Linked DNA regions of Drosophila melanogaster. The protein of the gene in region 1 interacts with the protein of each later gene in a pairwise test. Each region holds a gene or a part of one and is shown in the gene's direction. Other genes may lie near its edges.

Region 1 (11,166 bases):
AATTGTCCCAGGCCTGCGACTTAATTAACAGCTCGGCGATTTCGCAGCGCTCGCTTTTTCCCAGCTGCTGCTGGTCCAGCGTCTCAAAGTTCCGGGCCAGCCACTCACGCTCCTCGATGTCCTGCGAAAATGAGGCAGCGGGATCAGCACGCAATGTTTATGGGATGCGGTGGAATGGGATGAGATGCGATAGGACGGGACACCTACCTCGACGTAGGAGAACTCGGCGCTGGTTGAGCGGCCGCAGTAAATGTCCTTGAGCAGCTGCTCCAGCTGGGCGACGTTGTGGGCCACCTGCGGACCACTTAAAAGGCCATCGGTGCGCACCGGCTCCTGTGTCTGCAGTCCATAAAATGCGGGACTTAATTCCTGCAGCTCCTGCTGGCTGTGTCCAGTAGCCACGAAAATTCACAAGACAAATACACGCAGCCGGGGCGATATTACAAAGCAGCCAGAAAGGGAGAATAAAATATGACATTTGCCAGGACGATTTCGGGAGGGGTATGGGAAAATGGGAGCTGGGAGCTGGGTACTGGGTGCTGGAGCCTCCTACCTCGTCCTGATGCTGATGGGATTTACGGCTGCCAATTTGTGCCCATGCTGGCGAAAGGCCTCCACAAAGCGATAGACGTTGGCCTGCGAGTTCCTTGAGGCCCGCACATCCTCGGCCACTGAAACACACGCGTAAACAATATAAATTTCGCCCCACGTTATAAATTATTTAAAAAAGGATTCACGTGCACATCGCCCCGTTGCCACGTTGTTCGGCCTTTTGAATTTATTGGCCTTTTACTTTTATGATATTTATTCTTTGCTTTTTACGCTTTGCTTCACTTTGATGGACTAGCTGCCAGGTATGTGCACTTTTGAATCGTATTTACCCGGCAAATATTTGGCATTCGATATGAATTCGAGTGGAAAATGTCGAAAGGAGTTGGCTAAAGATTTAAATGGGGCTTATTGAGATTGCGTGCAGAACATATATTCTTATCATATACATATATCGTTAGTTATTCCAGTTAGCAGATTTACATCGAATTTAAAACTATAGAGTGTACCACGACGTTTGTGCTTCCCGATGGCAAGCAATTCGTGCTACATATGAGAAATTACGATTGTTGTTTTTATTGCCTTTGTTGGGATATTTTATTCCCTGGTTGAGCCATTGACAACTCGTTGGCTGCTTAGGTGTTTACGTGTTAAAGTGTTATCCTGCTTACAGGATTTATATGCGATGACGCATATCACTCGATTACAGTACCCTGAAAATTCGAAATCCGTGGGACAGCTGGCATTTGCCAGTTAGACCGACCCCAAGTCGTCCTCAGAAATTTATGCAATTTCTCGACGGCATTTCGGCCATAAATCAATTTAATGTTAAAGAGTAGGTCGCTTGGACAGGAGCACAGGGTGTATGATGAATTGTATTTGCGGTGACAACATTTCAGCTTGAGCGTGTAAATATTATTGGAGCACAGCGGCGCGTCCTTTGCCAAGGATAATGATTGCCCTGACAGAAATGCAGCCAAAGGACGAACGGCAAACAAGGCGAATTATACCGATACTACACTGAGGCAAAACTAACGCTTAAAGTCAGTTTTAGTACGCTTTACCATAATTCAAAATACTGGTCAATTGGGTTTGCTTTAGAATATCTAACATACTTTTCCAAAGCCTGAGTAAATCCTAGACTTGATTTTCTCTATGTGCATCATCCTAGGCGCCTGATGTCACATGGTCAAGCGTTGAAGGCTTTCCTCTGGTGCCCAGTCAAAGGCTCCTGGCAGACTATCCAACTACCAACTACCAACTGGTGACTGGTGTCTGTTGGCCATGGTGTCGATAAGCCCCAATTGTGTACGCAACGGATGCAGGACAAGCACAAAGAAGCTCCCGTTTTGGGGTCCTTTGTTTGCCGGGCTTTGATATTTAGCCGGGTCCTTTTTGGACTCCCTGCCGTGCGTTTTGGGAAAAGATATAGTATCTCTGCACTGGACATCCGCCTCTCTTCACTTAATTAGTGCACTGCACGGGGGGTCTGCCACAATCTCCTCATTCTAATTATAAATTCGGGGTACTGGGTGTAGCGCCATATATTTCGGGTTTATCAGATTTCAGAGTGAAAACATGTGATAAGCTGAGAACGTGGAGATTAGCTTGGGTAGGTAACAGGAAAGACGGTAACATTAAAACCATAAAAAATATTCCACCAGTCAACAGGAGCTGTTCTTTCTCGATAGTATGAGAGGCATAAACAATGAACTTCAATTTAAAAAATATTTTGCGAAATTAAGTTAAACCTGAAGTTAGTGAAAATAATCCTAGGTATCCATACGTATTCCCGTATATACCCTCCGATTACAGGGTATACAAATGATATATCTTCTTTAAACTGGTTTTCGAATTCACCCACAGCAATTTGCACTTGATCTCTTGTTCAGGCTGTTGTTTTATTGCAGTTTCTGCGGGGATTGTTGTGGGTCAGCTGCTTGAATTCCGCTGATAAATAGCCGGCTGGAAAATCCGACACGAACGCACACACACGCACACAATGTCACTTCGTCGGTTTTTCTTTTTGCTTGGGTAGATTTCCACTGCCCATTCATATGAATGTTTGATCCCGAAAGACTCTTATCGATGCGATGGTTATCTCGACGGATGAGGTTTTTATTGAAGTCTTGGCAACACACTTGTTTACAACCGTACCTTGAAATTCACGCTGGGCAATCGGCTTATAGCCCCAAACGCCCTTTTCGCTGTGATAGCACCGCGATTGTGGGCGTGGCAGTTTTGCGATTCCCGCCTCCGAAAGCGCCAGATAACGCAGCATGCTGATGGATTAAAAACGAGGCGTGTATGCCGGATCACCTGATAAGTTCGCAGCGAAATCGCGGTCTCTTCTCGCCGCCGTTCGACCCAGAACTAAGGGCAATTCACTTTTGTTTGAAGCCGGGACCCCCATATTCCAAATAAACTAAATTGCTGATAAGCTGGGAAATAAACCGGGAGAGAACAAATCCCTCCGAAAAGTAGTGCCTACTTTTGGGCTGGTGGTGTGATATGATCGCTGTTAATTAACAGAGCGCTTGTTAAACACATGTATGAGATGATAATGAATTTCAAAATAGTTTCTTATCAGTTAACTAAAGCTGATAATGCAACAGGTTCGTTGGCCAATAATGGATTGCCTTTGAGAGAGGGAAGAGTTGTATCCATTAAATTAGTCATACATATGCTCAGGAATATATTGAAATGAACTGTACCATAGTTAAAAACATTTTTATATTTATATATATATTTTATACATAATTATGCTGTCGTTTGTTTAAAAGATATATGGGGTACATTTTCAACACCAATTTTCCCCTAACAATAACCACTATAAAAATATATCTTATCCTTCGATTTTTATTATAGCAATGTTTATCTGCATTATTGTTTTATAATACCCTTTTAGTCACACAAGTTGATCCTCAAAACGCTTTGATTTTATTAATTTGGAGTTCCCCACTCTGCACTTGATTTCTTCATTAATGAGGACCATGACACTTTCATGTCCTAATGAAATCCATCAGTAGGCTTTTTTACGGGCGGCTGATATTCATAACTCTAAAGCTTCATCGGAAATGCCTATTAATGGTCGGTAATGGGTCATTGTCTATAATTAAACCGGAAGCGTGCTCTCATCAATTTCGCATCACACACATACATGTTTAGGCTTTACAGCCCATTCAGCTTTTCACAAAATGGCCGCGTCATGAGTATGATTAACTGTAATGGAAGTGAATCACAAATCTGCCAGAGACCATTGTCAACAGAGAGAAATATAGGTAACGGTCCCACGAATGGGCATAAACAAATAGGTTGGTAAATTTGGAGCACAGAGAAGAGAGTGAAGCTTCCCGAAAAAGCCAAGCGGGCCGAAGAAGGAATGCGTTATCGGTGCGTAGTATTCCATTGATAAGATATGCCTAGCTTTATCTGGCCGATAAGGCAATGTTTCACAATCGAGTAGACGGCGACAGGTGAACTGAGTTTTGGCAACGCCCCGATCGGGCCGTTAGAGTTAACTTAACTTCAGTCTTAGCTGAGCGGCTCGCTGCAACGAACGTGTTTTCCTGCCTGGTAATTAAAGTTAAAATTGAAAATTGGTGACAAGTGATAAGAGAACTGATAAGCCATTGCCTTAACTGATGATGTCATCAAGTGAAAATTGTTAGAAAATGAGGATATCAGAGGAAAAATAGTGTACAAATTCGCATGAATTGAGTGCTTATTGAGTGATACTTTTATTGTGGATGCCTAATTGATGCCTTTGTGTTTTTCTTTTAGCAGTGAAACGAAAAAACGAATTACCAATTAAGTGACAAATCGAAATCAAGTGAACATGCGTTTCAAACTGTTTGTGGTTTGTGCGCTGGCCTGCGGGTTTATGGCCTTTGTCCTGGCTAACGAGAATATATCGACGGAGGAGTTCGAGGATCAAATAATCAATGCAGTTCCGGAGCCGGTCAAGGTGACTAAGCCCAAAGCTCAGGCGGAATTCGTTGAGGTTCCAAAGGCCACGCCCGCTCCCAAAAAAGCGGAAGCGGACAACCCGAAAACCAAACCACTGGCCCTGCAGAAGCCCACTCTGATTCCCGTGGTGCATGTCAGCAGTCGGGGAACAGATGATATCCTCACCGTCGCGGGACTGAAGCCCGAGAAAATGTTCGGAGCCCTCATCATGCCAAATGACTATTTGGGGGAGCTGTACGACGTGGACAACAGCGGCTACAATTGGGGTGAGTAGGTTTCGTTGTCCCTGGGCTGATTCAGTTCCACCCCATTACTCATACGCCGCGTTGACTATCTTATCAGAACAGCTCAGTGGGTTTCAGTTTGGTTTAGTTACCAATATTTGCTCGATAACCTGTGTTCGGGCATTCAGGTGTAGGTGCTGTAAGCCCCTCTCTCTCTCTCTCTCTCTCTCTCGCTCTGTGTTCTTCCCGATAAGATAATGCCCCAGGTTGAGGCATTAAAAAGCTAACGGTTTCTTGTTTTCCGCTTCGGCAAACAAAACAGGTGCGTGGTGGCATAGTGAATATACGCATATGTATGCACACGAATATAGGTGTGGACACGGCGGACAGCGGGAGCACGGAGTCTTGCGTGATTCAGTTTACAACCTGTGGTAGTGTGTGGATTTAGCAATTCTGTTTTATCAGTCCCCTAGAACTGATATATTGGCTATTCGGAATTGGAATTTTTGCCGTATTAGTCACAGTCATTTGTTAGAATGTAACTGTGTAATAAAAAAGGGTTTGGTCAGAAATAGAATATCGAAATATATATGTGGAATTACTCACCGATTGCAAAGGAGTAATGGTTTAAAAATATTGTAATATTTGTAATGCCTCACTTGCCAAGAACAAGACGCTTACATTTTGTTTCATATATATATTTATATTTTATCTTATATTTGAACTGTCTTTAGAAGCTTAGGCTAACTTATAACTAAAGTAAGGCAATCCTTTGGAACTTACAATTAACCTAGTTTCTGGACCTAAGCACTCATCGAGATGCGCTGCTCGTACTCCGCGATGCGCAATCTCACGGGAACCACTAGACTGAGGTCCTCCATGATGGCGTGGTTCTGGGTTCGTACTGAGGCACTGGAACTCTGGCGGGAGATGGTGGCCCTCGACTTGTCCATCGAAGGCTTGCGGCGCAGGGAGCACTTGCGCTGGCTGCCCCCCTTGCCCACGCCCATGGCTGGTACATGGGGAGTGGCAAACTGGGCGGTGGTGGCCGACAGTCTCTTGGGCTTGGGTGGTGGCACTTGTCCGGTCACGGAACCACTGAGACTGTGGTCGCTGCCCAGGAAACTGTTGGCGGTGCTGCTGTTGGCGGTGGTTGTGGCAACGTTTTGAGGACGGGCGGTGCGCAACATGGCTATGAAGCGGTTGTTGGTGGAGCTTGCTTGGGGCATCAGCTTGCTGAAACCCGACTCAAAGGTGTTGGTCAGCTTGTTGAAGAAGTTGATTTTGTCGGTGACAGTGGGTTCCTGCTGCTGATGCTGCAGTTCCTCCTGTTGCAGTGGCTGTTCCTGTGGCTGTCGCTGTTCCTGCTGTCGTGCGGTTTGTGGTTTCTCCTGGCCATTATTTCGCTTGGACATTTCCAGCACTTTTTCCCTCAACTCCATGGACCAGCGTTTCTGGGCCGTATGCAATTTGGGTCGCAGTGGGGATATGCCATTACCCGGCTCCGTTTTGGCCAGTTCCACGGCCAGTTGGCTGGTAAAGCGCGGCTTGGGCGTGGAGGTGATGGTGGGCTGGGCGGACATGTCCTCATCAATGTCCATTTCCAGTTCGCTGATGCATGAGGACGAGGAACGGGAGGCTGTGCTGCCGAATCCCGGTGAGGACGGGCTAAGCTTGTAGTTGTAGAACTGGAAGTTGAAAGTGCTGATGCTCATGTTGACGGTTGAAGTACGAATGTGCTGTTGAGACCAGGAACGCAGACCTTATATAGGTGCACTTCTAAAGACTACCTGGTCCAGTTTTCACCCCCGGCAGCTGGTGCCAAAAGTTCAGGTAGCCGATCCCGATAGGCGATACCCAGCCTAACTTAATTCCGGGAAACTACCTGAGATCACTACCTAAGCTATGAAAGTAAAAAAGGAAGATTTCTCAAAGGAGCGATTTCCCGGTAATTGCAACCCGAACACGCGAGTTTTGCGTGTTTTCCGCGCACCAATTTTTGGCAAAAGACTGACGGCTAATCCGCACACTTTTATAAGGACCACCAAAAAGGATTAGCGAGGGTATCGAATCATAAATAGCTTAAAAACATTAAACGCGACAGATGTTCAGGGTTTCTACAAGCAATCCGCTGGGGTTTATGGCCACTTCACACTGTTGACGTTTCATTACCTGGCTCGTTAAAATCAAAATCAATGCAATTAATGATTCACCCGACACTCTGCAATTCACAGCCGACAAAATAATAGAAGGAAATGAGGGAAATAAAAACGGTGTTATACATTAAGCATACTACTGCAATTTCCATATATTCAAAGAGAAATACGCAATCAAACTCAGATGGAATGGGAAAATATCTGTGCAAAAGGCGAAATGAGGTGTCAGGATCGTAATGGGGTTCATTAATTAATGGAATTATAAATGAAGCTTAAATTGTATGTAAGGAGCGGGTTCCATTGAAATAACAACTAACTTAAATATTAAAATTGAATTTGTGAAATAGAATTCAGGGAATTCAGCTGGGATAGGCACGAAATGAAAAGTTAAAGATGCTGCAAAGTAGACTGTGATACCTGCACTGCCCACTAATATTGTTTCTGTAAAACAAAAGACAATTAAAGTATTTATTAGTTAGCTAATTGAACTATAGAAGTACAAGACAAAGCTTAAAAATATTAAAGTATTCCTGCAAAATGCAATGAATGTCAACCGCTTTTGGTGCAACCACAACTCTCCAGGGATGTCAGGAATATTTTGAAATCTTTCCCGGGACTTCACCACGAAAACTTCGCCAGCAATTTAAGTTTCTGGCCAGCGTCAGGAGCAATATCCTTAAGCGGATCCTGGGTTCTTTCATGGGCACACGTTTGCAGTGTCCATTGGGAACGTCAGCTTTGCACTTAATCAGCTTAAATTGCTTTAAAAGGCCAGCGGTGAGGCGAAATTAGGAAAAAGGGGCCAAGAGTAGCAGAGAAGAAGGAAGACAGCAAAGTTTGCAGCGCAGAAATGAATATTAACTGTGACCTTTAATGGCCAAGCACCCGGAACGGGAGCTGCAAGGATGTGGGTGGCAAAGTTGCAGCCGGAAAATGCAAAAGAGGCCAGGAAAAAGTTTTCTTTCACTTTATGCCTTGCAACGCAGCAAGTGCCAGGGATAATATTGTGGAATTGAAAAAGTAATCTCGCCGGATTAGGTGTGAAATTATAATGATAGGCCAGAGCTCACCTCTCTAAGCTATTTGTCTTCTCCTCTCGCTGTTTCCAGATCCCAATAACAATGTCGCCCCGCCGACCACATACTCCACGGCAGCCGGAGGATACACCATAACCGCCGCCCGTCTTGCGGAGCTCAGGAGCAACTTTATGTACTGGTACTTCGACAAGGACATGTACGGAGGACGTGGCGACTACCAGTTCGACATCCATGCCTCCATGACGCAGCTGCACAAGAATCTGAACTTCCAGCTGCCCTTCTACGGCTTCCGATTCAACTACACCAGGGTAGGGTTTCTTTAAGATTTTGACATGACTGTAAAGCTGCACAGAATATGCGAATCTGACTGTAATCCAACAATCTCCTCCTCTTACAGCTTTCCCTCAACGGCTACTTGGAGTTCTCGGATCCGCCAGAGTACCTAACTTACCCCCTGGTCTTTCCGATCAAGGACTGGCCCGCCAAACGCGATCCCTCCTTCATGGGCATCTTCTTCAGCAAGTGCCGTGTAGGACGAATTTATCCATCGGATATTGACCAGCGGACGCCCGGTGTTTACTTCCGGTAAGACAATGCATCTCTCATCTCAATATATTTCCGTATTATCCCCTCCCGCTCGCATTTCCGGTTCGTTTGTATTTATTTGCCAGCCGTATTTATTCGCCCTTGTTTCTCGTGGCATTTGCATATGCGAAATCAGCACACAGTACGCGCCAAACAAAAGTACTCATACGTTCACATTCGTTTTACGTGCGCCAGTCGCCATTTACAGAAAACTAACACAAAATGGCATGAGTGTCTGCGTGCCCCACTCTTCACTTCCGGTCCTCATGGCCCCATTCTGCATTCTGCATGTGTGTGTGTGTGCATGTTGTGGGCCTGCATTTATGCATATGTCCTTCCAAACTGTATAATTTATTTGACAAACAACTTGTTCTATATTAATTCAAGGAATTAAATTATGAAATACCAGAACTTGATATTTTGGCACACGTGCACCATGTCAAGTAATTTCTTGTGATTAAAGTCAACTAAGTTAAGTGACTGTATTTTCCCTGAAATAATGTTATTTATATATATATATATATGTGTATTAAGTGTATTATCCTTCCGACTTTGTGGAGGTCCAACCTCCATTATTGTGTGACATGGTTAGTGTTTCGTTGCTTGTTACTGTCATTTATTGCCCCAGAATTTCTGCATTATTTCATGGTGGCTACCTGTTCATCTGTGCTCCGTAATATTTCCGGGTTCCCAACAGAATTCCAGCACCATTATTTTCCTGCTGATTTCAGCATGCACTCGAGCGTGAATTCATTGCGAAGTGTCCATCGTTCTGATGCATTGTTAAGGATTTTGCAGAAAAGAGCATTCACTGCATTCAAATCGTTTTTATCTGAGTGCAACAATGCATTTCGAAATATAATTTGTGAGTTCAGGATGAATTCGCTATGTGACCAATTCTACTCTAATTATATTCTGTTGCCAGGCACTTTCCCGCTGAACTTTCCGAGGACAATGTTTAAATTTATACAAACATGAATTTCCATTTTTTTTGCCCTCGTCCAGCTAATTATGCAAATTAATGCAAGAGGGGGTTAAAAGTTATTTGTGGTGTATTTATATGGGTTTACCCATGGCAGCATTTAAAAGAGCTTGGCCTTACAAATTCCGCAATCGCACACACAGAGAGGCAGACTCTCAAAAGTGCATTAATTAGTTAAAGCTACTTTCTTCTTAAATTGCTCTTTGGTTAACTCGCAGATCCGAGCTATTTGGAGCATAACTTATGGCTGCTCGTCTACATTGTCTCAGCGCCTTACATTTCATAGCCTTGAGGAACAATGAAAAAATAAGGAAATGGGTGCATAAATTACTTCAAAATGGCACACAATGACAAGTCAGTTGAGCGATGCATGCAAGTTGAAAAATTCATGGGAAATCTACCGAAAAAGTGGAGGAAAAATTACAAAAGTGGTTTAATCGATTTGACAGCATTATGAATGGCTTATAGCATTGCAGGATAAATGTTTTTCCATCGAGTTCTTTTCTGGCACTTTCCATTTTTCCGTTCACTGGGTTTGTTGTCAACACTCTGCTGACAAATTGCCACAGCTGAGCAATTAACATCCTGCGAGGAGCGGGCACAAGGATCAGGACACGAGTGCGTGTAGCGTCCAATGCATTTTCATAGTTTTACACAGTCCGACAATATGTCAAACTTGTTCCGCATAACTCGTTCAATGGCGTAGTCCCTGCCATTTAATTGTCTTCGCCTCGTGTAGAGCGATAAAAAGGGGAAATGCTCAGCCAAACCAAACTTTCATGAGAGCACCGAAAAAACAAAAACCTATAGGTATTACCTATTAACCTTTTAAAAGCAGTTAGCTACTTCTTGTGATAGCTTTTTCTACCAGTGCACTTGTGAGTGGGAGGGCAGAGGTATTAAAGAATGGGGAGTCACTGATGCTGTGACTGGAATTTAATTTAAATAACTTTGCATGGCGCTGCAGATAAAGAAGCCAGGCAGAGCGAATAGCGAGATGCGGAGTGATGTAAAATTGCTGGCCACCCACACACGAGCACCACCCACCGACCCACCATCACCTTTTGGCACCACCGCCTCATCTTCTCACCCACTCCGTCATTGACATCCGCCCACATGTCGGACCACGATTATTTCGCATCAATTTAATTACACACTCACACTTAGCGCTCAGCATTGGATTAGCTGAAAGTGCAGGGCGTTGCGCATACGCCGCGTGGGTCGCCATCCACTTTGAGCATTAAATTCATTATGAGCGCACGTTTAATTACACACACAAACGTTTAGCCGCGTCGGGTGGCGAATAAAAACTTAATGTCGTTTGTTCAGTATTTTTGCCTTTGTTAAACGCTTTAAACTTTGTCAGCATGAGAAATTCGATGTGTGTGTTTTTGGTCAAGGTGGTACTTTCTGCAGGTCCTGTGAGCGCCTAATTGTTGTTTGGCAAGGACAGCTTCAAACGGATTCTTAATTGCCGGCCTGCGTTGGCGCAATTAACACATATTCGGGAAAAGAGTCAAAGGTGCATTAGCAATGGAAAAATTACAACATAAATACACAGCAAATTTAAAAGAACAACAATTAGAAAACGCAATTAAAAGATAAATATACCCGAGTAAAGTTCTTTATGAACTTTAAGAAAGGTAAGGTTTTTGGCCAGACCT
Region 2 (10,592 bases), on another chromosome or scaffold:
TTGATCAAATAGCAACGTAATCCAGAGGTAATTAGTCATCCAAAGAGCATAATTTGAATAATGGGAAGATAGTAGGTCACGTCAAAGAAAATTATAATAGTGTGGTTTCCCGGTAATTTCGAGAAGCTGGCAATTTCCAAAAGTGAGTCACCACTTTTCCTACACCGAGCTGCTGTGTATGTATTATTTGCGCTGGTGGTGCTCCGGCTGAACTAATTTAATAGCTGCGACTACGTTAAAGCGCTTAAGCTCGCAGTTCAGCGTGTAGGTAAGGTTCATAAATGGCCCCAGCTATTTTCAGAGAACCCACACAAGAAAGCTTGAGAGGTACACGTCATGGGGGCCACAACAAACGAAACGGTGCCGAAGTTTCTCAGGCATTACTATAGTGGCAAATTGATTGATAATTAAAGTTGCATGCCACCAAAGGTGTGCACATTTCTTAGACACTAATTAAATTAGCTAATGATTGCTTATCATCGTGTCTTTGCAGGTAAAACAACAACGAAACAATGCAAGGTGAGTGGAATAAGGACAAGCCGTACTAACACATTCTTTTTGGATCTAAGTTTACTCCACAGCGGTTTCGGAATTACATAGAAATCAGAGCGAAGTCCCTCGAGAATGTCCTGGCAAAGTGTTCCCCAGTATCCCCAATACCAAGGTTCAATCTTCTTAACTTCTAAGCGAGTGTTACAGCTTACCCGTTTTCTGATCGCATGCTTTTGTTCGTCCCGGGGCTTGTCGACCCGTTGAATGCTCAGTAATTGCCCAGAGCTGATTCATTTCCATTACCTCTCTCTCTTTACACATCGTACTTGTCCCTTCTTATCATGGTTGTATGTACATATTTGCTCGAGATTGTTTCTTGGTTTACCGCATCTCTTCGTCACGGCGAAGCGTTTCATTTAGATTTTACAGTTCTTGGTAGACAGATTGCTGTAGCGAACGCGTTGGTAGCACCGTTTTAGATGACAAACTAAAACGAGATGTCTTATTTCGCAGATCCCAACCAGCAGTACAACTATGGCGGCGGTAATCCCCCGCAGGGAGGATATGGTGGATATCCACCTCAGGGCGGCTATCCACCTCAAGGACCGCCGCAAGGCTACCCACCCTATGCACAAGGAGGTGCTCAACCCTATCCACAGCCCTACGGACAGGGGCCTCCACCGGGAGGTTATGCTCCCCAGCCGGGATTTATCCAACCACCACCATCTGCTGGCGGCTACGGAGCCTACGATGATCCGGAGAGCCAGCCCAAGAACTTCTCGTTTGACGACCAAAGCATCCGTCGCGGATTCATACGTAAGGTGTACCTGATTCTAATGGTGAGCTTTAGATAATTCTGCATAGAAGGCATGTACAATAAGTTATCATTTCTGTGTCATTAGGGACAACTAATCGTCACTTTTGGAGCTGTTGCCCTGTTTGTATACCACGAGGGCACTAAAACCTTTGCCAGGAATAACATGTGGCTCTTTTGGGTTGCCCTCGGCGTAATGTTAGTAACCATGCTGTCTATGGCTTGCTGCGAAAGTGTGCGCCGCCAAACACCGACGAACTTCATATTCTTGGGTCTGTTTACAGCAGCTCAGTCGTTCTTAATGGGAGTTTCCGCAACCAAATATGCTCCGAAAGAGGTGAGTACTTCGATTTAATTACGATATGTAGTAAAGTGATACGATATCTGTTTTCCAGGTTCTCATGGCGGTGGGCATAACAGCAGCGGTTTGCTTGGCCCTAACGATCTTCGCCTTGCAGACAAAGTACGACTTTACTATGATGGGCGGTATTTTGATCGCCTGCATGGTGGTGTTCCTGATCTTCGGCATCGTGGCCATCTTTGTAAAGGGAAAGATCATAACACTGGTGTACGCCTCGATTGGAGCGCTGCTCTTCTCCGTTTATCTCATCTACGACACACAGTTAATGATGGGCGGCGAGCACAAATACTCTATCAGTCCCGAGGAGTACATCTTTGCGGCACTAAACCTCTACCTGGACATCATCAATATCTTCATGTACATTCTGACTATAATCGGCGCATCGCGCGACTAAGTTCCGCTCTATTTCCAAATATTGTTTGCAGCTTAATCGGGTTATTCAGTAACCTGGAATACACGAATATTGTTGTCGCGTAATCTCATCGGTGTGCTCCCCCAGTGGAGGTAATCTTCAACTAACGAATTACTCAAATACTTACAAATCTATCTACTTCGTGTTGTGTTTGCCCATTTTCCCCGTTTCCTTCTAGTTCTAAATGTCAACTAAGGCTATATGAACTACTTACTTTTTGTTATGTATGTTTTATTGTTGCTTAAGTTGAGGCGCAAACCAAGTGGATATTTCCAAATTTAAAAATAAAAAAATTATATATATGTATGTATACCAAATGATATGCCATTCAGATAAACGAAACAACAATAAATAGTCACGTATAAACATATTTATGTAAAAATATACATATAAGCAAGTTGGCTTGCAGTTGTTAACACATAAAACTTAACCGTGTGTAATAACCAAGGAATCCCGATTTTCAACTATGAATCAAGTACCGAACATTGTAATCCCTGCAGCGACACTGAGTTTAAAGTCAACAATAAAGCGCATCTATTTATTAAAGCCACAGACCCCTGCATTGTAGGGCTTCCGTCAGTGGTTCATCCAGTTCAACCAGCCAGCCACCACCAGATGCAACTTTAGTCTGCGACTTCAGAGCGACGCCGTTGGTTGGATTACTTCTACACTCCAGACCATTATCGTCTGCATTTTTGCTTTATCATTGCTTAAGTTAACTTTGTTATCTGCACCACCACAGAAAGAAGTCCGGGTGTTTTAATTTCGGGTTGGCCCCATATCATGCGTTTGACCCGGCCACCTGTTCAGTAGTTCGTGTGAATTCCAGCAGGGCGTAGCTATAAAATGTATCACTACCAGCAAGGTAAGTACCGCCCGGATTGGGCTGAAACCAAACCAAATTGGCTACGGAAAGGTGCTTTAGATTAGATAATCGATTTGGCTATTGTATAAAGCTTATTGACTGCATCGTTTTCTCTCAGTAAGAGCCAACAAAATATATCTCTCTCGGCGCATTTTCATCTGATAAGACAGCTGAAAAGGTTTCGTTATGAGCCCAAAAACAGTGATTCACCCAATCGAAGGGAGAGTGAACAACCATTTTGAAATTGTATGGTGGCAATATCAGTTACTCACCGACATCAATACACAAATCTTATCTAGAGTAGAAGTGTGGGGCTGTGATAAGAGCCGGTAACCGGCTAATCTCAACTCATACGTCCATATGGGAACACCTAGAAAGGGCGATTCGGTTCCATTAAGCTGAAACACTAGCACGCTGCCGGCAGTCGGGCAAAGAGAGCACCGTAACTTAAGTGACTAAAGTTTAGTCATAGCAATTTAGCCATGAGCAGCGACAATCATTTTCAGTACGGTTAGTCATTGCATTAACTTTCCTGCTTCCTTGAATTGTCTTCCAACCACACAGGCGATGAAACTGGCGCATACACAGATGCGGAAGCGGACAAGAGCTTCGCCTTCGATGACCAGAGCATCCGGAAGGGATTTATTCGAAAGGTCTACTTGATATTGATGGTAAGTGCTGATATTTGAACTGAAAAAGAAAATATCAATTTAAATTGTCCAAAAATAAAGGTATTTGCTTCACTACTTGTCTGCTTTGGGTCACTTTAAAACTTCAAGATTTATTGACTTCCTGCAATCTAATTTTGATATCGCGCTCTATTTCTAGTGCCAATTGCTGATCACTTTCGGTTTTGTTAGCGTATTTACGTTCTCGAAAGCTTCGCAGGAATGGGTGCAAAAAAATCCGGCACTGTTTTGGATAGCCTTGGTAAGTTTTTACGACTTTTATGCTAAATATTGAATACAAATATATCCAATTTTTAAACTCAGGCCGTTCTTATCGTGACCATGATCTGTATGGCCTGCTGCGAAAGTGTACGCCGTAAGACGCCTCTTAACTTCATCTTTCTTTTCCTGTTCACCGTGGCGGAGTCGTTCCTTCTGGGTATGGTCGCCGGACAGTTTGAGGCTGATGAGGTCCTGATGGCAGTGGGAATTACGGCCGCGGTGGCCCTGGGACTCACCCTGTTTGCCCTGCAGACCAAATACGATTTTACGATGTGCGGAGGAGTGTTGGTGGCCTGTCTGGTGGTCTTCATCATTTTTGGTATAATCGCTATCTTCATACCGGGCAAGGTGATCGGACTGGTCTATGCCTCCTTGGGAGCATTGCTCTTCTCCGTTTACTTGGTGTACGATACCCAGTTGATGCTGGGTGGTAATCATAAGTACTCCATCAGTCCTGAGGAATACATCTTCGCCGCTCTAAACCTCTACCTGGACATTATTAACATCTTCATGTACATACTGACCATTATCGGATTGTCTCGCAATTAGACTGGTCATTATGATCCATAGCTTCTATTCCAGTTTTAGAAATGTAACTTAATTTTATGTGCCCAGTGCCACCTTAGCCGGAAAGAAATACAAGACGACTAACTAATCCAACATTGTCGAGTGCTCGCTTTGGTTTGGGATTTTGGCTGGGATTGGGGCGCGCTCAACTAGTTCGAACCTTGTCCACACCGCGGTGTCCAATTAATTAATGCGCACGAGAGGCCGTAATGTAATTATGTTCAATCAGCCCCTGCAGCGCCACCAGTTCCTGGACTGGATTGAATGTGGACAAGGTGATCGGCGCGATCGTCAGTTGCGCGAGCGTCTGGCTAACGGGCGGACATGGATTTCGACGAGGTGCTGCGGGAGGTGGGCTCCTTTGGTCTCTACCAGAAGGTCATCATCTGTTCCGTTCTATTGCCCGCCGCGCTGCCCTGTGCCTTCCACGCATATAGGTTGGTCATCCTTCTTTGGTATTCTATAATAATAATATTGAAAAAGAAATCTTAATGGGATTTTCACATCCATGCGATAGCATCATTTGGGGTCTACCTTTTCGCCTCTTAAAGGTACCTCATCAGAAAATTTTCATAATTATCTAAAATGATTATTTTCTAGCCAGTTGTTCATAGCGGCCACACCTCAGCACTTTTGTCGCGTTCCTGAGCTGGAGCCCTGGACGCAGGACTATGTGCAGCTTGTTAAGAACCTGAGCATTCCGCGTAATCGCAATGGAGCCTATGCCGAGTGTTCCATGTACTCGAGAAATTACACCGATATAGTGCGCTATCTTGAGTATCGACCTCCTCCGGATTTGTTGCGACAACAGGCAGAGGATTTGCTCAAGTTGCAGCCGGATACGACGCAGGTGGTGCCGTGCCAACATGGCTGGCACTACGACAAGTCCATATACTCAAGTACGGTGGTTCAAGAGGTGGGGATTTTCCAATTGGATATGGTATGTTAGAATTATTTCCTCATATATCTTGCAGTGGAACCTGGTGTGCGACCGCAGCTTCCTTGTGACTTTGGCGCTTGTGGTCTTCGGTGTTGGCGGATTGCTAGGTAACTATGTATTTGGATATCTAGTGGATCTGTGGGGCAGGCGGCCATCCTTTTACGCTTATCTGCTGCTCGAGATCATTGCCTGTGCGGCCAGTGCCTTTGCCTGGAACTATTACACTTGGTTGGGCCTGCGCTTTGTGGTGGGACTGACGGTGCCAGCTATTCTGGCGAGTCCCTATGTACTGGCCATTGAGCTGGTGGGACCGGAGAGGAGAGTTTTTTGCACCATCGTCTCGAATATCGCCTACTCCTTGGGCTTGGTGGTATTAGCCGGAGTTATCTATATCGTACGTGATTGGCGGGAACTCAGTTTGGCAGTGTCCATGCCTTTGCTGATGCTTTTCTCCTGCTTCTTCGTGCTTCCGGAATCACCACGATGGTTAATGGCCGTGGGAAAAACCAGGAGGGCCATTAAAATTCTCAAAGTAATGGCCAGAGTGAATGGTGTGCGCGTAAATCGGGATTTTGTGGAACGGTTGCAGCGAAAACTTGTCATCACAAGGGCTGCGGAAACCAAATCTTCAATGACCACCCACTATGGGATATTGGACTTGTTTCGGGGACCCAATATGCGTCGGAAGACCCTGATCATAACCCTTATTTGGTTTGCCAACACCAGTGTCTACGTGGGACTGAGTTATTATGCTCCTGCGCTAGGAGGCGATGAGATCTGGAACTTCTTCCTGGCTGGGGCGGTGGAACTGCCAACATATTTGCTACTCTGGCCGGGATTGAGTTATTTCGGAAGGCGCTGGATCCTGTTCATATCGATGCTGGTGGGCGGAGTCGCCTGCGTGGCCACATTTCTGTACCCAGACATCACACTGCTGCTCTACTGCGTGGGCAAGATGGGCATAAGCTCGTCCTTTGTAGTCTTGCCGCTCATGGCATCTGAACTGTATCCCACGGTGGTGCGAGGACTGGGCATGAGCTTTAGCTCGGTAATATCCATGGTGGGACCTATAGTGATTCCCATGATCAATCATATGGTGAGTGCGGCTCAGGGGATTACTGTTTACCATAATATTCACCCATTTCTCGTTGCAGGGTCAGCAAATGCTCGTACTTCCGCTAATTGTAATGGGAGCCCTGCTAATCTTGGGAGGATTTGCTAGTCTTTTGCTGCCAGAGACCCGTAACCGAAATCTTCCACAGACTTTGGAGGAGGGCGAGGCAGTGCCACTGAGCTTCCTCCTCTGCTGCTGTGTGGAAAGCGAGCGAAAGCCGAACAATATCCGTGCGAGTCCGAAGAAAAGGATTCTTCCTGAGGCCGGAACACCGGTTTTCCATCGTGTAGATACTCCGGTTTCAGATAGAGTCCCTTGCAAGATCGTTTGCAGCATTTGTAAAAATGAAATGCGCACACTTTAGTCAGTTACTAGTTGTTCAAATAGAGTTGGTTAAAATAAAGTTTGAAATTGAAATTAATTTGTTTTGATTTTGTGGCGGCACTGCGTCTCTTACATCTGGCAACTCTGTACCGCATGTACATACATACATACATACATACATGTGTCACAGTGGTGTGAGCTATTAAAAGCTAGAAAATCTTTAGATTATCCTTAGGTCAAAGTTCAAGACCAAAATGTGACAAGATTTTAGAATATTTTAATAATTAATAATTATATTCCTAATAAGCTCTTCCAAATCTTTAGCCCATAAAACATATTTCAGCAATCTATTGTAAAATATTCAAAACACTTACATACATACATATGTATATCCGCAGTATTAGCTATGCACGCATGTTTATAAAACAAGTTGGCAGGACAAAAAATCAAAACAAAACCCAATTGGAAACCTAATAAACATCAATTAAATATATTTGCCACAATTAAATATGAGTTTTTAACTCTATTTGACCTCGTCACTGATAAAAATACTAGCATTTGCATTAACCTTAATCCGTTATAGGTCGTCGAAATGTGATAAGAAGCCGCAATCGCTTGTTTATGTACAAATGAGTGGAAACTTCAAGAAACATTCCGGTTGAACTGGCCTAATCGCAATTTTAAGCCAATTTAAACGTGACTCATTTCGAAGATTTCCGACCAAAAACCATATACATATTTATATATATACATATGTGCATGTACCGCATGCTACGACTCCCAACTTTGGATTTGGACACATAATTTGGAAGTTGCGTACGGGTCATAGTTCCTGCCGAAGGAGCCTTCTGACCATCTGGATTTTAGACGTACCATACCAAATGTCAACAAGTTTTCGACTGCCGCGTGCTTTGCGCCACACCTCCCACTACCCCTTTCCCATCACCTCGAAAACCTCACACAAGAGCGTTGCTATGCATACACACACAGGCCCACACTCACACACATGTCGATTATGCAAGCAAAGAAAAAAATAGGCATTAAACTAAAAAAAAAATGCTGGAAATATGAATGGGTCGTATGGTTTTTACAGCTCATTTAATGTTATGCATGGTAATGATGGTCTAAAACAATAGTTTACAAATTATAAGCTATGCTTTCAACAATTTGGGCACATTGTTCTCGAATCGAAATTGTGGCCTCAGCTTGTTTTCGTTTTCAATTGAGGATTCCTTGAGGGCGGGGTTACATCGAAAAGTCGGAAATTGGGGAAAATCGGTAAGAGCTAGTAGTGCTAAAAATATATTTCTCTGTCCTCGCGACCTGGCAATGAATTCATCTGGAGTGTCTGCGTTGTTCCCCTAATCACCTCGTCACAATTCTTCCGAAAACCGTATCGTATATATATAGTATATAGTGTTTTATGACAGCGCATATATCTATAGATACATCTGTGTGTGTTGTTCTTGGGAGGGCGGCAAAAATTAGAATGTGTGTGTTGTTTAGACTGTGGTTTTTTTTGGTTAAGGAAACGTTCTTTAATCGCTTTGGAAAATACATTTGACTGTTCCAAACTAGTACAATTAGATTAAGATTGAAGGGTTCCCTTAGTATGTTAAGTATAGTTATTATGCTTATGTGTTCTGTTCAGCGCTCACTCGGATGCCTTTATTTTTGTATTTTAGTATAGTGTGTAGCATGACCCCCAAAAAAGTGGCTGGAGGGAGCACGAAGAATGGCCCATTCAGGGCAGAAGCGCTGGTTGCAGTCCGGAGTGGATCCGTTTCCGATTTGGAACCGGAATGGGTAAGTGGTAGATGTGTTTCCGGCGTGTCTGGTGTGTGGGTTCTGCCCTGTATGCCAGCCACTTCGTCTTGCTCCCTGGCCCCGTATGTTTTGTATGTATGTTTTTGTGTTCGGTGTGTGGTGGTGTGATTTGCCCGGGTGGGCGGGGTTGGACCAGCCTAAGCGGAGGCCGCCACCTCACCGGACTTCTCCTCCTTTGTGTCGGCGATGGCCACCTCCTCGAAGTTCTCGACCAGATCGGGCACATCATCGTCACCGGCATCGGCGGCTGAAGAGCCGGCTGCTCCGCCGGCGCCGCTCTTGCTGGCAATCTCCGTGGCCAGCTTCTTCAGCTGGTTGATGTCCTGGGGACCCAGTTGCGTCAGAATGCCGGGCACCATCTCGGTGATCGTCTTGTTCTCGCCATGACCCGTGATGGCAAACGTGTTCGTCGGCAGCGAGGCCTGGGCCTTCGGATTGTTGAAGTGGATGACGGTGCCATCGTTCTTGATGATGTTCACCTCCTCGATGCCGGGAATTGTGTTTACCGACAGCTTCTTGAGCGACGACTGCAGCTTCTTGTCGTCGGTGGCGGGCGTGGAGTGGACGATCTTCTTCTTGCGGCGAGGGGTGCCCTTGCCGCCAATGCGCACCTGCGCCTGCAACTTCTTCAGCTTTTCCGCGTTCATCTGTTCAATTGAGTACACACAATGGTCGCATCAGTAAAACGCCAATCGAATGCCGCACTTTCCACTACTCACTTTGATTTTACTAGAATTTAGCACAGAGCCTTGCCAGAAAACACGTGCGCCCAGTCGTAGTCAAATGTCAAAAAGAAATCGCCATGATAAAAATGGCAAAAGGTGTATGTATATGTGAGTAGTACTGGTAGGAAGTACTAAACGTGAGTGTTGACTATCGATAGCTCACAAGGTGGCAACCAAAGCGCGCCAAAGAAATTTAAAAATTCTATTGTTTATATAATTTATACATTATTTTTGAAGTAATACGTTTTCTGAATTTTGAATGAATTTTTAGTTTTGAATATATTCAAATTTTTAGTAGTATATGGTGGGAAAGTAAATCTACTCAGGGCATAAATCTCAATTTAATCGATTTACTTTATTTTCATCGCTTTCAACCACATATATAAGTAAATATGTTTAAAAATTTGCTATATAAAATTAAAAATAAACGTGGTAAGAAAAAAAACCAATTTACTAAACATTTGGAATGTTAATAAACATAATTATGAGCCATCATAAACCCAGCAATAAAGTTTTAAACACAATTAAACCAGATGTAATGTTTGAATTAATTAATTCTTATATTTTCTATTCCAATAGTATCGATTGCTTTGTTGAGTTCGATAGCTATCGTTGGCTTGCATCGACTACTCACTAAACTCAGCAGTCAGTGCTGCATAACGTCATCATTATGATAAATTGTAATGTTTTAAAAAATATCTATACAAAATATACAAGCTTAGTATAACAAACTCAATTTAGTAAATATTTGGAACGCAAATAAATAAAATTATGAGCCATTATATACCTTGCAATAAAGTTTTAAACACAATTAAATCAGATGTTATGTTTGAATTATCGATTGCTGTGTTGAGTGCGCTAGCTATCGCCGCTTTACATCGACTGCTCACTAAACATAGCCAGCGCAGTCAGTGCTGCATAACGTGCACCCATTATCATCATGATAAATTGTATTACTTTCAGATTAACGCTGATAAGATATAGTTAATTCCAATCGGGCTTCAATAACGACCTTCCGGTAGAGTAGTTCACTGATATTTAAGTGAATTATACGGGTGCTGCCAAAAAGCGGATAAATCCGATAAATAGGCAGTGCATTCCCTGCAACAAGTGGAATTTTCGACTTTAAATACAGATATTAACAAAGGGAAATAACCGCTAAATCCTTGTCAAACGTAAGTATTTCACGACGTCTTATCGA
Region 3 (11,372 bases), 2.2 Mb from region 1:
GGTAGTCGGAAAACTCGTACATTGTTTACGACTCGTACCTGTTTTCATTAATGGCCTGACTCGCAGCGCAGTCAACACCTGTCAACGGCCCAAAAGCCATGTCCGTGTCGACGTCAGCCACTTGGCCGCTGCTCCTCCGGATCCGCCAGATCCCCCATTTCCTCCATCACCGGTTTCCCCTGTCCGAGCCACTTGAGATGCATTTGCCTATCCCCGAGTGGAATTAATAGATTTTCATAGTTTTTGCACTCTGGCGTGGCACGCGAAACGCAATCAATAAGGCACTAGAATGCATTTCTCTGAATCGCTTTGGTGACTGCGTCTTTATGCCGCCCCCATCACCATCTCCATCTCCATTCCTATATCCTCCATCCAACCAACCGACGATCCCCTACCCCCCAATAAAATCGCCGGGAATGAAGATGTTGCTCCATGCAATTCGGCGAGTTGTTGTTTGCACGATTTGTTGCCGTGGCCGAGCGTCTTTGAACCCGCTCTGAATTTCAATGGCTTCCGTTCAGCCATGTCCATGTGTGTCTTCCAGCCAATGTGTTGGTAATTCTGCATTCTACCGTGACTGATACTTTTATACCCTCGATGGGGCATTTTATTTTTGCATTGAATGGCGAAGTTGCACATTGTCACAAACCATATTTTCACTCCGGGAATTCCGTCGAGAAGTGTTCCCAGAAGTGTTCCCAAATTAGATTGCTCACCACTAAATTCAGGCATTTGCTTGACTTTGCAATTAGAGAGTAAGCGACCAATTCCAAGATCTTTATAGTATATATCATTCCTTGGCTTCTTCAAGTTGTGAAGGGTATTGAAAGCATAGGTTTCTTTGTGTGTTAAGAACATATTGGAGGCGTACGCTGCGTTCCGTCTGGCCATAAAATAAATCAAGCAGCCCGACACCAGAGTCAATAGTAAATCACGGCTGAAACGGCAAATTACCAGACACTACTGGCCATCATCTCGTCATCGAGACTCCTCGAATAATTATGCGGTGACGCGACGAATTTTCCACACACTCCAAATGCCGAATTAGCCCTGGCAATTACCTTTTTAGATTTGCAGCTTCTGGACTTTGAGTTTGATTTGTTATGGCCGCTGTTTTCTTTTTCTGTTTGTCTTTGAACGGCGCTATTTGCTAGTCGATTTGTTAGAATATCGAGAGGTAAAAAACCCAAATGACTTGGCAATTTGCCTTGGCTATTATCGCGATGACGAAGCTGGCCAGTTTTTGGGGGTGCAACCGTTTGGATGGATCCGCGATTTCGGCCCGGATTCTTGTCGCTCAAGAGCACCAAGGTCAACTTTCGCTTTTTTAGTGCTCCATTTTATTGGGTTCTTAAATTTCGGTTGCGTTTATTGCACTTCGCTTTTCAGCTCGACTGTTTGGTTAGTCCATATGATTTTGGCCATACGATTGAGCCTGGTAATGCAAGCTAATTTGACGGTCCATAAACGGTCTGTGTGGAACATAAAAAAAAACCACCATATAACTAAATAGTTTATAAAAACAATAATCGTAGAATGATCAGCTTAAAAAGTATTTTAATTTGGCTCGAACGTATTTCAATGCCCTTGAAAATAAACAGGTAGATAGTTGAACCTTTAATAACTGACTATGTCAGAAACGAAGAATAACTTTTTAAGCTAATTACTAAGACCAGGTGCGAAAATCGGCGAGAAATCAGATTTTCAAGGTATTGACTCAAAAAGGTAACACTCAGTTGTCTGGGTAAATGTTGCCCTATTTGCTCATTGCAAACTGTCCGCCTACAAATCGTAACTTTTTATATAATGGAGCCCCGAAATCTGCATAAGTAAAGAGGCATTTCAAAGCAATTACACAGCATAAATAAAGGCATCAAACAATCTGCAGGCCGTTGTACCTCGAAAGTGAAGTAATTATACATCAAAAGCGAATCATGTCATTGTCAAGTGTTTGAACAGAGCTGAACAAGATCGGATCATACCTGAAAAGTGTGCACTTGAGTGTCTTTTGATGGGGCCACCATTAATATGCAGTGTCTTGATCGCGAATATTATTATTTTAATTTCGTTATTTCGCATTTGTCATTAATGGGCCTTTTGTTTCGTTTTCGTACAGCGTTTGTGCGAGAGATATTCGAGTTTATAGACTCTTTGAGCTTGGCTCTGGTGTGAGAAGATACTGCGTCAAGATACAGATACAGATGGGATCGGCGACAAAACATGCTGGGAACTACGTGATTGATGGCGGCACTGCGATTACCAGCCGAACAGCTGAACAGTACTGAACTCGACTTAGAATACTCGGCCCAGGCGAATATATTATAAATGCTGGGATATATGCGAAATCAGTGAAATCTTGTCGCGTCTAAAAAGGAAAATCACACAGCAAATGCAAAATTTATGAGCGAACTACGTCGAACGACGTCTCCGGGCGAACGGAGCAGGAATACCAATTGGGCTGGGTTTTCGATTGGGATTCGTATAGGGATGGAGCGGATGTGCACTGCACTCGAGGATGAGTCAGCTGAGCCGGAGGTCCGTGTGGGTTCAGCCCTGTCAGACAGATCAAACTATAAAGACAGGGTCCAGGTTCGCCGAATGTCTTTAATTAGCCAGCACGGTTTCAGAGATCTCATCTAGTAATCACTTTATTTACCAGACACAACTTGGGGTCAGCATGATAATCATATGCTATCATCACTTAATTAACAACGGAATTTTTTATACAAGATAAAAGAACATACATATAATGCAAAGTAATCCAATACATTTTCGGTTAATCATTTTGCACTTCTTAACAATCATAATGATAATCCGAAAATTCAATCGCTATGTATTCAATTATATGGAGCCTCATAATATATGATATATGTACACGCTGCGTATGAGTAATATTTACAGTTCATCTCGAAATCTTTGCTAATATTTTGAGTATTCGTCATCTTCGTTGGAATGATAACTACTAGTATACATTGGGTATGGGAATATTCAATTTTGAAACTCAACTGAATAAGGCAATTGTAAAAGATACTGGCGTAATCTTTGATTACCAGCACGTTTTGTTAATTGTTTATTAAAGATGCTTTGGAACCTTCAAAATGCTCCATTTAATAGGATGAATGGCAAGCTGTAAGCTAAGTAACCGGCGCTATTTTAACCCAAGTGACCAGCGCTTAAGTGAAGTCCGATGTACATATACCGCAAATATATCTCAAATGCTTCGGCTTTACGAGGCTCCATAAAATTGGATCATAACACTGGCAGTGTCCGAAAGCGATGCTCAGGTGCGGCAAGTTAGTACGACTATGTACATGTGTACACTTCAATCGCCAGTCCAAACTGCGCCACTCAATTTGACTTGATTTTTTTTTTAAGTTTGGCTTACCGCCCACAAAACGCCGCAGTCGCCGTCGCAGTCGACGCCACCGTCGCTGAGGCGCTGAGCCGCTGAGCCACCAAACCGCTGAGCCGCTGAGATGCCAAGCGCACCACCATCGAGCCGCTGAACGGCGCCGATCCACGGACTGAGAAGCCGCCGTCAGGTGTTGTGGTTTTTGCGAGCCTCAATCGAGCTGAGTCTGTTTTCGTCTGCCTGGCAGCGCGGTTCTGGAACGCGTAACGCTCGCATCGACTTCAAAAGTTAGTTTTCAAACTCGGGACTCAATTCGCTGGATATACAAAACCGATTCGGTTCGGATCGCGGTGCGCTCCCAGTTTTTCCACCTGTTGCAACCAATTTGGCATCGCTCTTTTCGCTACTCTTGTGCAACAGCGCGTGCTGCAGTTGTAAAGCGCGTTTGGTTAGAGAATTTTTATATATTTCGAAAGTGGCAACTGAAAAAGATAGAAAACCAAGAGATATATCCCTGTATGCCAGCGAGCAAGATTCGTTTTGGCAGATCCACGAGCCCTCCAATTAGCCAGCAATTTGCGGAAAGCCACTCCAATCCAATCCGTGGCCGTGGGATCTGTGCCTGTGCAGCCAGCAAATCGGTGAGTCTTGAATTACATGGGATTATAGACAATCTGCTCTGCTATCCGTATACCTGGTAATCGTATGACATATGCCATTACGTATATGCTAGGCACTGTAGGTAGTGGTGGTGGTAATGTAGCTGGCGTTGATGGCTTTCTAAAAAAAATACCCATATACCCAAATACCCAAAACGGGTTGGATTCGCTCCGCAGGTGCAGGAGGGGCCGACGAAGAGCTCATAGCCAATTGCCAGCACACAGGCATTCACGAAAAAATGTGTGAAATTTCATTGAATTTCCCAAATTTAATACACAAACAAACCCACTCGGCAATTGGGAAATAACTCATTGTTTTGCCATTGCAATGGCAAAAGAGTTACGGCTGCCAAAGAATCGATAATCGCCAGTTGGATTATTATATTACTCCCGTGGTCTTTGTGTATTTCAAACAAGTTTGCATTCATTCGTATTTTATATATGGCCAAACCCAAAAAATAATTGATTAGATTGGGAAAAACATTCATTACTGGATCAAGAGCAGTTCGATCAATATTTAAATTCCCACTTAGCAGCTCACTAATTTGGCAGAATAAATAATATTATCTGTGACATTTGGTTTTACAAATCCGTGACTAATTGTTCTGTGCTGGCTATAAAAGAAATTACTTGATGCTCAAAAATATACAAAAATATACATACCTTTTGTAAAAGAGACTAAAAGGCCAGAAGAGGATTTTAAATATTTAGAAGATACGCATTTCAGTGAAATGTCGCAATAAAAATGTGTTGCATTAAATATTATTATATTACGTAAATCATATTTCAGCTGCGCAGAAATGTGCAATTTGCCTCAGCTTTACAAGCCATTTAAAATCCGAACTCAATTAAGCGATGTAATTTGGAAATTAAAGTTCATAAAGAATTTAAAGAGTGGACGCCCCCAAGCCCTTTATACAACAAATACTTTCGTTGGCCAAATTTAAATGGCAATGAAATGCATTCAATGAAATATGCATGAGAATATCATCATATCGTGCTGAAATGAAACAGAGTTTAAAAAATCGATTTGTGTGCCACAATTAAATGGGCCTCAAGGATGCAATTAAAGTATCTAAGTATCTGTGCAGGAAAAACCCAGCCAACTCTTTAATTGAGGCGAGACGAGAAAATAGTGCTAAACTTCATGTCATAGCGATTCAATTAATTCGCAATTTATCAATTTTCAGTGCCAGGGCTTTTTGATGCGGCCAAACATATTTCATTTGTCCACCACAAACAACTGGTATTCCAGTTCGGATGCGGATGGGGATTCGTTGGGAGTTCGCTTCGGGATCCGTGGGCGGATGGCTCTGGTGGCTCTGGTGTTCCATGTTCCATGTTCAGTGGGCTGACGTGGTGGGGCGTCAAGTGGAAAATAATCGATGATGTGCCCGGGCACAATGCAAACATTGAATCAAAGTCAAATAGCATTAAACTTTTTGAACTTGCGAGGCGCGGCGAACATAAAAAAAATGAAATAATAATAAAAGTTTGCCCGCCTTCCAAGAGGCGTGAAAGCGCACACAAAAAAGTGGGCAAGCGGGGTAGGGGGTTTTTTTTTGGGTTCCTGGGTTTTTGGGACTCGGTGCTGCAGTTTTGGATCTCCCTTTCCAGAGATTTAGTGCTTTTCTTTTTTTTGGATGGATAAGCGCAGCGTTGCGCAAATATTTGACAAATCCCGCGAAAAGTCTGCTTATGTTGTCACCTCGCCTCGTTGCCATTTCTATCCAGCACCCAGGGAATGGAATGGGATAACTGGGATGGGATGCGATGGGATTTGCAGTGTGACTGGCACTGGGCCAGTCATGCTGATTAGGATTGCACCGAAAGACACTTGCCACTTGCCACTTACCACTTTCAACGTGCGACAATGTTTTCGAATTGAAATCCGAATCGGAATTTGCATGCGAATGCTCGCGGTGTAATTTATATTTCGCACTTGGCGCACTTTTCATTTCGCTGCGCGATTTTGTTTATGCAATTTGGCCAACTGCCTGCCGAATGCCAAAAGGAAGGCAAACGCCTCAGGCTTCAGGCTTCTGGCTAACGAGTGCAGGCGCGTGTCTGTATCTATATCTGTATCTGCACCTCTATCTGTATCTGTATCTGTATCTGTATCTGTATCTGTATCTTGTGGATAGGGAAGACCCCCCGAGATTCCCATATAGCAGGTGAAGGCGAACGTAAATGCGCCAATTTGTATGCAAGCAGCATTAATCGAGGGGTAATCCGGCAGCGATGCATTGCAGCCAGTTAAAGCCCAAGCCCAAGCCGATTCCGAATCCAAATCGAAGTCCAAAGCCAAATCCAGAGCCAGAGCCACTGCGTTTCGACCTGGCCAAGAGGGGCCGACATTACGTGAGATGTGCAATTGCACGAAATTGATTTGCAATCGATAAATGTGCGAATATTGCTTCTGCTGCGAATTAGCAGCCAAACAGCCAAACGGCCAAGTGTCCAAATGGCCAAGATATCCGAAGGCGCTCTTCGCCTTGCATTTTCCAGGCGTGTTTAAGTATGCATAAATAACTCATCGGCCGCCTGACCATGAATCCAATTGGGAACATCTTCATTTAAATTGTTTAGTAGCCGAGCAATGCGGCTGAGTAATGTTTGCATTGTATCTGCATCTGTGCCTCCGGTATCTGCACATTTTTCAAGCTGCCAAGTGGCAACGTTCCTAAATAAAGGTATGTTTTGAACATAAATTTTGTCAATTTCAACTATTATCGGGTGAGTTTGCATTTACCATACTCGTATAAAACGTACGGTTTTAAATTACAACAAAGATCGAATTTCCATGCAGATATTCTATATATTTGTAGATAAAAGTGTTACACTTGTAGCTGTTCATTTGAACACGGCCATATTAAATTCTGCATGCTCATTTAATTAGTGTAATTATATTTGGCACAGTACATATGTAGCTGCTCTGATATGTTTCATATTACACTTATTAATTATTTAACGAGCGCTGTAATATATAATTGTAAAATTCCTGCGGTCTGAATAGCCCACTCTGAGTGACAGCCAGTTGATTTAAACGGAATGTGTTCTTTAACTATAGATGAACCATTGATAAGAGGTTAACCCAAACATTGCAATTATTTATATATTTTAATGCAGCATCTGGGCGGAGAAGCATATAAATTATATTGTTGCTGAAACTTCCCATGCCAGCATTGATATTGATAAAATTCAAAATAAATCCAATCGCTTTCGGGCGTAAAAAAAATCGCCTCTCTTCTATCAAAATCGCTCCTTGGCCTGTGTGTGTGTGTGTGTGTGTTTGTGCTCACGCTTTGTGCTGCAAAAATTGAAAAATCAAACACAAGGAAAACCACTCGAGATTCAGCAGTGCAATCGATTTCCAAAGCAACATTGGTGGTCGTACCAAAGCAGTTGTATTGGTAATATTGGTAGCATAGTAGCCACTGACAAGGTCAGCACTTGGGCTTTTATTTGGGGCCCGGCGGTTGTCGCATTCTAAGCAAATCGCAATTGCCATATAGCTGCAGCTATCTACTACAGCTATACTCGTATATACAATACATTTGCTATTAGCTCGTTGTGGAATCGTTTGTTGAATCGTTGTTGAATCGTTGTGGAAATCGTGGCCCGGCCGTAATACACGTATTAATCTTGCCTCGCTTCTTGTTAGATGTGGCGTTGTTTTTGCGGTGGCAGCTTTGCTTTTGCCTTTTTGCTTAGTGCTTTTGCTTTGCTTTGGCAGCAACAAGTGTTTAATTGCGATAAATGCACCTGACCGCCTTGAGCCTGAGCTTGGGTTTGGGTTGAGACTGGGTTCGGACTGGGTTTGGGCAAGGCTTTCTGGTTCTCTCAGAATCTCTGCTGCTTTTCCACCTGCCCACTGGCCAGCACTACGCGAAAAGGTCAACACAATTCGGCTGCAGGCCAGCGGCATTGAACATGAACGTGGCCCGAAACTCTGCACGTAAAGTTGCCAATTTTTGTTGTTTGTTTGTTTGTTCGTTAGTCAACGTTTTCGGCCCAATTAAGAGCGGGCCCATAAATTTGGCATGACCATTTAAACATAAACCCCGACCGTGTACATCCTGTAACGGCTTTTTAATTATGCATGTCGCTATGAAAGCGTCGCTGCTTTGGCACTTGGCTAAAAGGTCTGCCAGCCCAGGCAACTGGGTCATTACCATGGCCTGGTCTTGATCTTCTGCTGATGGGGCCGTAAAAGACTTACTCCAACAGGTTGTAAAGCCAGTGAATTGTCTTGAATGTAATGTGCCATAAAGACATAAATTACAGTTCGGCCCAGAGACGCTATGGATATGGTGGCTTAGGTCAGGCATTTGATGCCGCTTATTGGAGCGTTTTCAGGAGCACCTCTTGACCTTAGGTAAGGGTCTTAGTAGCGATGGAGCATGTGCTTAGAGGAAGAAGAGTTCCTCTTTCGTACGTGGTATATTTTATATCTCCTGGGTACTTAATTACCTTTCAGGTATGCGGAAATATATCAGAAATATTCAAGGGTCTTAATTTCCTTTTAAATCGTATGGAAACCCCTTGTAATCTTGAGTTCAACCGCAACTGCACTCAATGACAACTTCATGACTCAATATTAATTGAATTATTCCAATTGAGACCTGATTTGCGGAGTGGAATATTTTTGCCAGACTTTTGGCAAGTCATCTTATCCGAGCTACAGATATTGAAAAATGATTTGCATCATTTGGCAGGCAATAAACTGTAAGATTCGCTATTCGATTTCAATCGAAAATCACGCATGCCGCTGCCAGTCGGTCGGATCTTAGCCCACTTCCACTTCCTCGAATTGCAGTGGAGCAGAACCCTTGAGTTTAACCCATCGCCGCCCAGTTAACCCATGACTTCGGCGGCGAGTCACGGATGGCAGAACTGTGCGGAATCGAAATGCGAGTTCGAACGCAGAGTGCGTGAAAATGAGTATTATGGGAAACATTGCCACAAATTGATGCACTACGCAGTGCTACCTTTAATTGAATTATTAATTATGTACCTTAATGAATGCATAATTGAATAATAAACTACGTGCACACGCCCCCACAATTGTTGTGCGCATCGGCAGCGGAATTGTTCGCCGTTTTTTTTTTTTGTTTTTTGCACTTCTCTCGACCAGCCACTGTTAACCTTTTAACTTTTGTGCACCGAAACCGAACCAAACCGACCGGGGCGAACCAATGTTTCGCGTAGTAAACATAAGTTGGGGCTCATTAAGTAATCACATGGAATATTCCCGCAGCCAATTAAACCAAAAAGCCGCAAGAGGGGGTTGCGGGGCAGCGGGACTGCGGGACTGCGAGTTCGCCGAGATGGATAGACAACATCGCTCACTGGCAGATACAGATACATATAGCGATACAGGCACAGAACCAGATACAGATACAGATGCAGTTGCAGCTGCAGATGCAGATACAGATGCGAGAGCAGCATGCAGACACCAGATACAATTAAATTCGATTCAGGAAGCATTTATGCAGTTTGCATACATTTAATATATACGTATATATATATGCGTTTCATGTGTGTGTGTGCCGAAACATATGCATATGTATTTCACATTCGATTGCATTTTCGGCCAACACACACACACACACACACACACACACACGGGCAGCCATAAAACTGCAACTGAAGCTTCTTTGACGAAACATTTTTAAAATGCATTGTAAATAAATAAATCCGGAATTTCTTTGAATGTTTAACTGTTGCAAGTGGAACGCCAACTGAAATTTCAGCGGGATAGATAGTTAAAGTTCAACTGGCAGCAAAGAACTCATCTTAAAGGAGGATTGTTTTTTAAGAATATTATAATTCATATGATAATAGAACATATAATTATTTTAATTGCCTAAAAATACATATATGCAAGTAGTTAAGACAACCTTCACTAACATATAAACAGCATATCGCAGCATAAATTATGATTTTCCATCGCCGATTGACACACAATATTGTGCTATTTATGATTTCCATTGCGTAATGCTTAAATGCAATCATCCAATTACAGAAATCAAATAAGTCGGTGCACACTTCCTATAAATCAACGCGCATTTCCCCATAGCTTTCTATGCCCCGAGCCACACATTTTGGTATTATGTCCAAAATAATTCGAAAATCGTAGAAAAGCCGACATCCTTTGTTGTTGCCGTTAATGTTGATGTTGTGCATTTGTAATGAGCCAGCATTACAGCAATCGGCTTGAATTGGTTACGTTGTCCGCCAATCGAATAGTTCGCCCCGCCACCACCCACTTTTCCAGCCACCCCCCGGACGGTTGTCAGTTGCACCACACTGGGCAATGCTGTAAAAAACAATTTGCAGACAATTTTCAGTGTTTCAATCAAACTGGTTTGACATAATTTCAGCAGCCCCACGAAACGTTGCCAACCTGACAATCGCAGTGGTGTTTATTCGGGGAACGGGACAAGTTTCCAGACGTTGATAAACTGGCCAAATGCTTCTATCCCGGCTTCAGCTCCTCCAGTTCCACTCGATACGCAGTTCCAGTTGTAGTCGTTTCAAGACTTTGCCATTTTGTATGTCGCAGATGCATAGATACGCTCGTACGTGGAGCATTTTACACTGTTGCCTTACTTTGTGGGGGATTTTCGGTTTCGGCTCCGTTTTGTTTTGTTTTGTTTTGTTTGCACAACTCGTGGGGCACATGAACCCCCTTTATTTTTAGCTTCCCACTTCATACGGTGCGTATGCGTACTATTGACCGTTGGTTCACTTTCCTATTGCTACTCGATTTCTAAGCCAAAGCTTTGCCACACTGACCACAACTAACTTTGTGGCTATAAGCGGAAAACTAAAAAATATGAATGGGCTGGGAGCGATACTAACTAAAAGCCAACAAGGGGCTACCAACTGCCAAGTGAAACGAATACGAGGAACAGTGGTCAGTAAATTATTCTATTTATTTTGGTTATTTTTCAATATTTTTTTAGTCAACAGCATATAAAAAATGTTGTAGTTTCCTAGAATATTTTTCAGCTAATTTATAGCCAAGTTAAGCTTGTAGCTTAAACCGTAATAAATTAGTTTTTGTGGGATTCATTTGAAGTGTTTAAAGCAGCTGTAAGATGTACATTTATTTTATTAAAGTAAATATTCTTACTTCGATGAACAACAAGTGAAATAGATATCTGTTCGAGATACTTCTTCGATATGAGGTCTGATCCTGGTTCAAATGTTCCCCTGATTTCAGACCACTGCCGTCCAGTTCCTTGGCAGCTCACACACTCGTTTGCATACGACTTTTGTGCTGTGGTAATTTGTTTTAAATATTTGTTTAAAATATCAAAACGCACGTACGCTGGCCAACAGTACGTGGTATC

What was found.
Region 2: the proteins of mesh (region 1) and Lfg interact in a two-hybrid assay, tested with the Drosophila melanogaster proteins (one large-scale study listed by BioGRID).
Region 3: the proteins of mesh (region 1) and wat interact in a two-hybrid assay, tested with the Drosophila melanogaster proteins (one large-scale study listed by BioGRID).

The regions. Positions count from the first base shown.
Region 1 is NT_033777.3:31,188,676-31,199,841, reverse strand, and holds the start of mesh (mesh), read left to right. Parts: upstream 1-4,079; 5' UTR 4,080-4,125; intron 4,126-4,332; 5' UTR 4,333-4,387; coding exon 4,388-4,784; intron 4,785-5,452; exon of another isoform or gene 5,453-5,545; coding exon of another isoform or gene 5,546-6,457; exon of another isoform or gene 6,458-6,480; intron 6,481-8,007; coding exon 8,008-8,243; intron 8,244-8,332; coding exon 8,333-8,520; intron 8,521-11,166. Other genes in the region: CG1544 (uncharacterized protein), read right to left, coding at 1-121, 208-385, 554-671, 2,707-2,830; bnk (bottleneck), read right to left, coding at 5,546-6,457.
Region 2 is NT_033778.4:12,869,124-12,879,715, reverse strand, and holds Lfg (lifeguard), read left to right. Parts: upstream 1-2,749; 5' UTR 2,750-2,925; coding exon 2,926-2,944; exon of another isoform or gene 2,945-3,426; coding exon of another isoform or gene 3,427-3,454; exon of another isoform or gene 3,455-3,508; coding exon 3,509-3,615; exon of another isoform or gene 3,616-3,634; intron 3,635-3,691; exon of another isoform or gene 3,692-3,772; coding exon 3,773-3,874; exon of another isoform or gene 3,875-3,936; coding exon 3,937-4,443; 3' UTR 4,444-4,552; downstream 4,553-10,592. Other genes in the region: Nmda1 (N-methyl-D-aspartate receptor-associated protein), read left to right, coding at 625-664, 1,006-1,331, 1,395-1,643, 1,702-2,061; Balat (Beta-alanine transporter), read left to right, coding at 4,786-4,898, 5,062-5,377, 5,436-6,497, 6,556-6,879; bic (bicaudal), read right to left, coding at 8,804-9,313.
Region 3 is NT_033777.3:29,012,644-29,024,015, reverse strand, and holds the start of wat (waterproof), read left to right. Parts: upstream 1-3,609; 5' UTR 3,610-3,993; intron 3,994-11,372. UniProt on the Drosophila melanogaster protein: Catalyzes the reduction of saturated fatty acyl-CoA to fatty alcohols. The preferred substrates are C24:0 and C26:0. Necessary for the final stages of tracheal maturation, to facilitate the transition from water-filled to gas-filled tubes.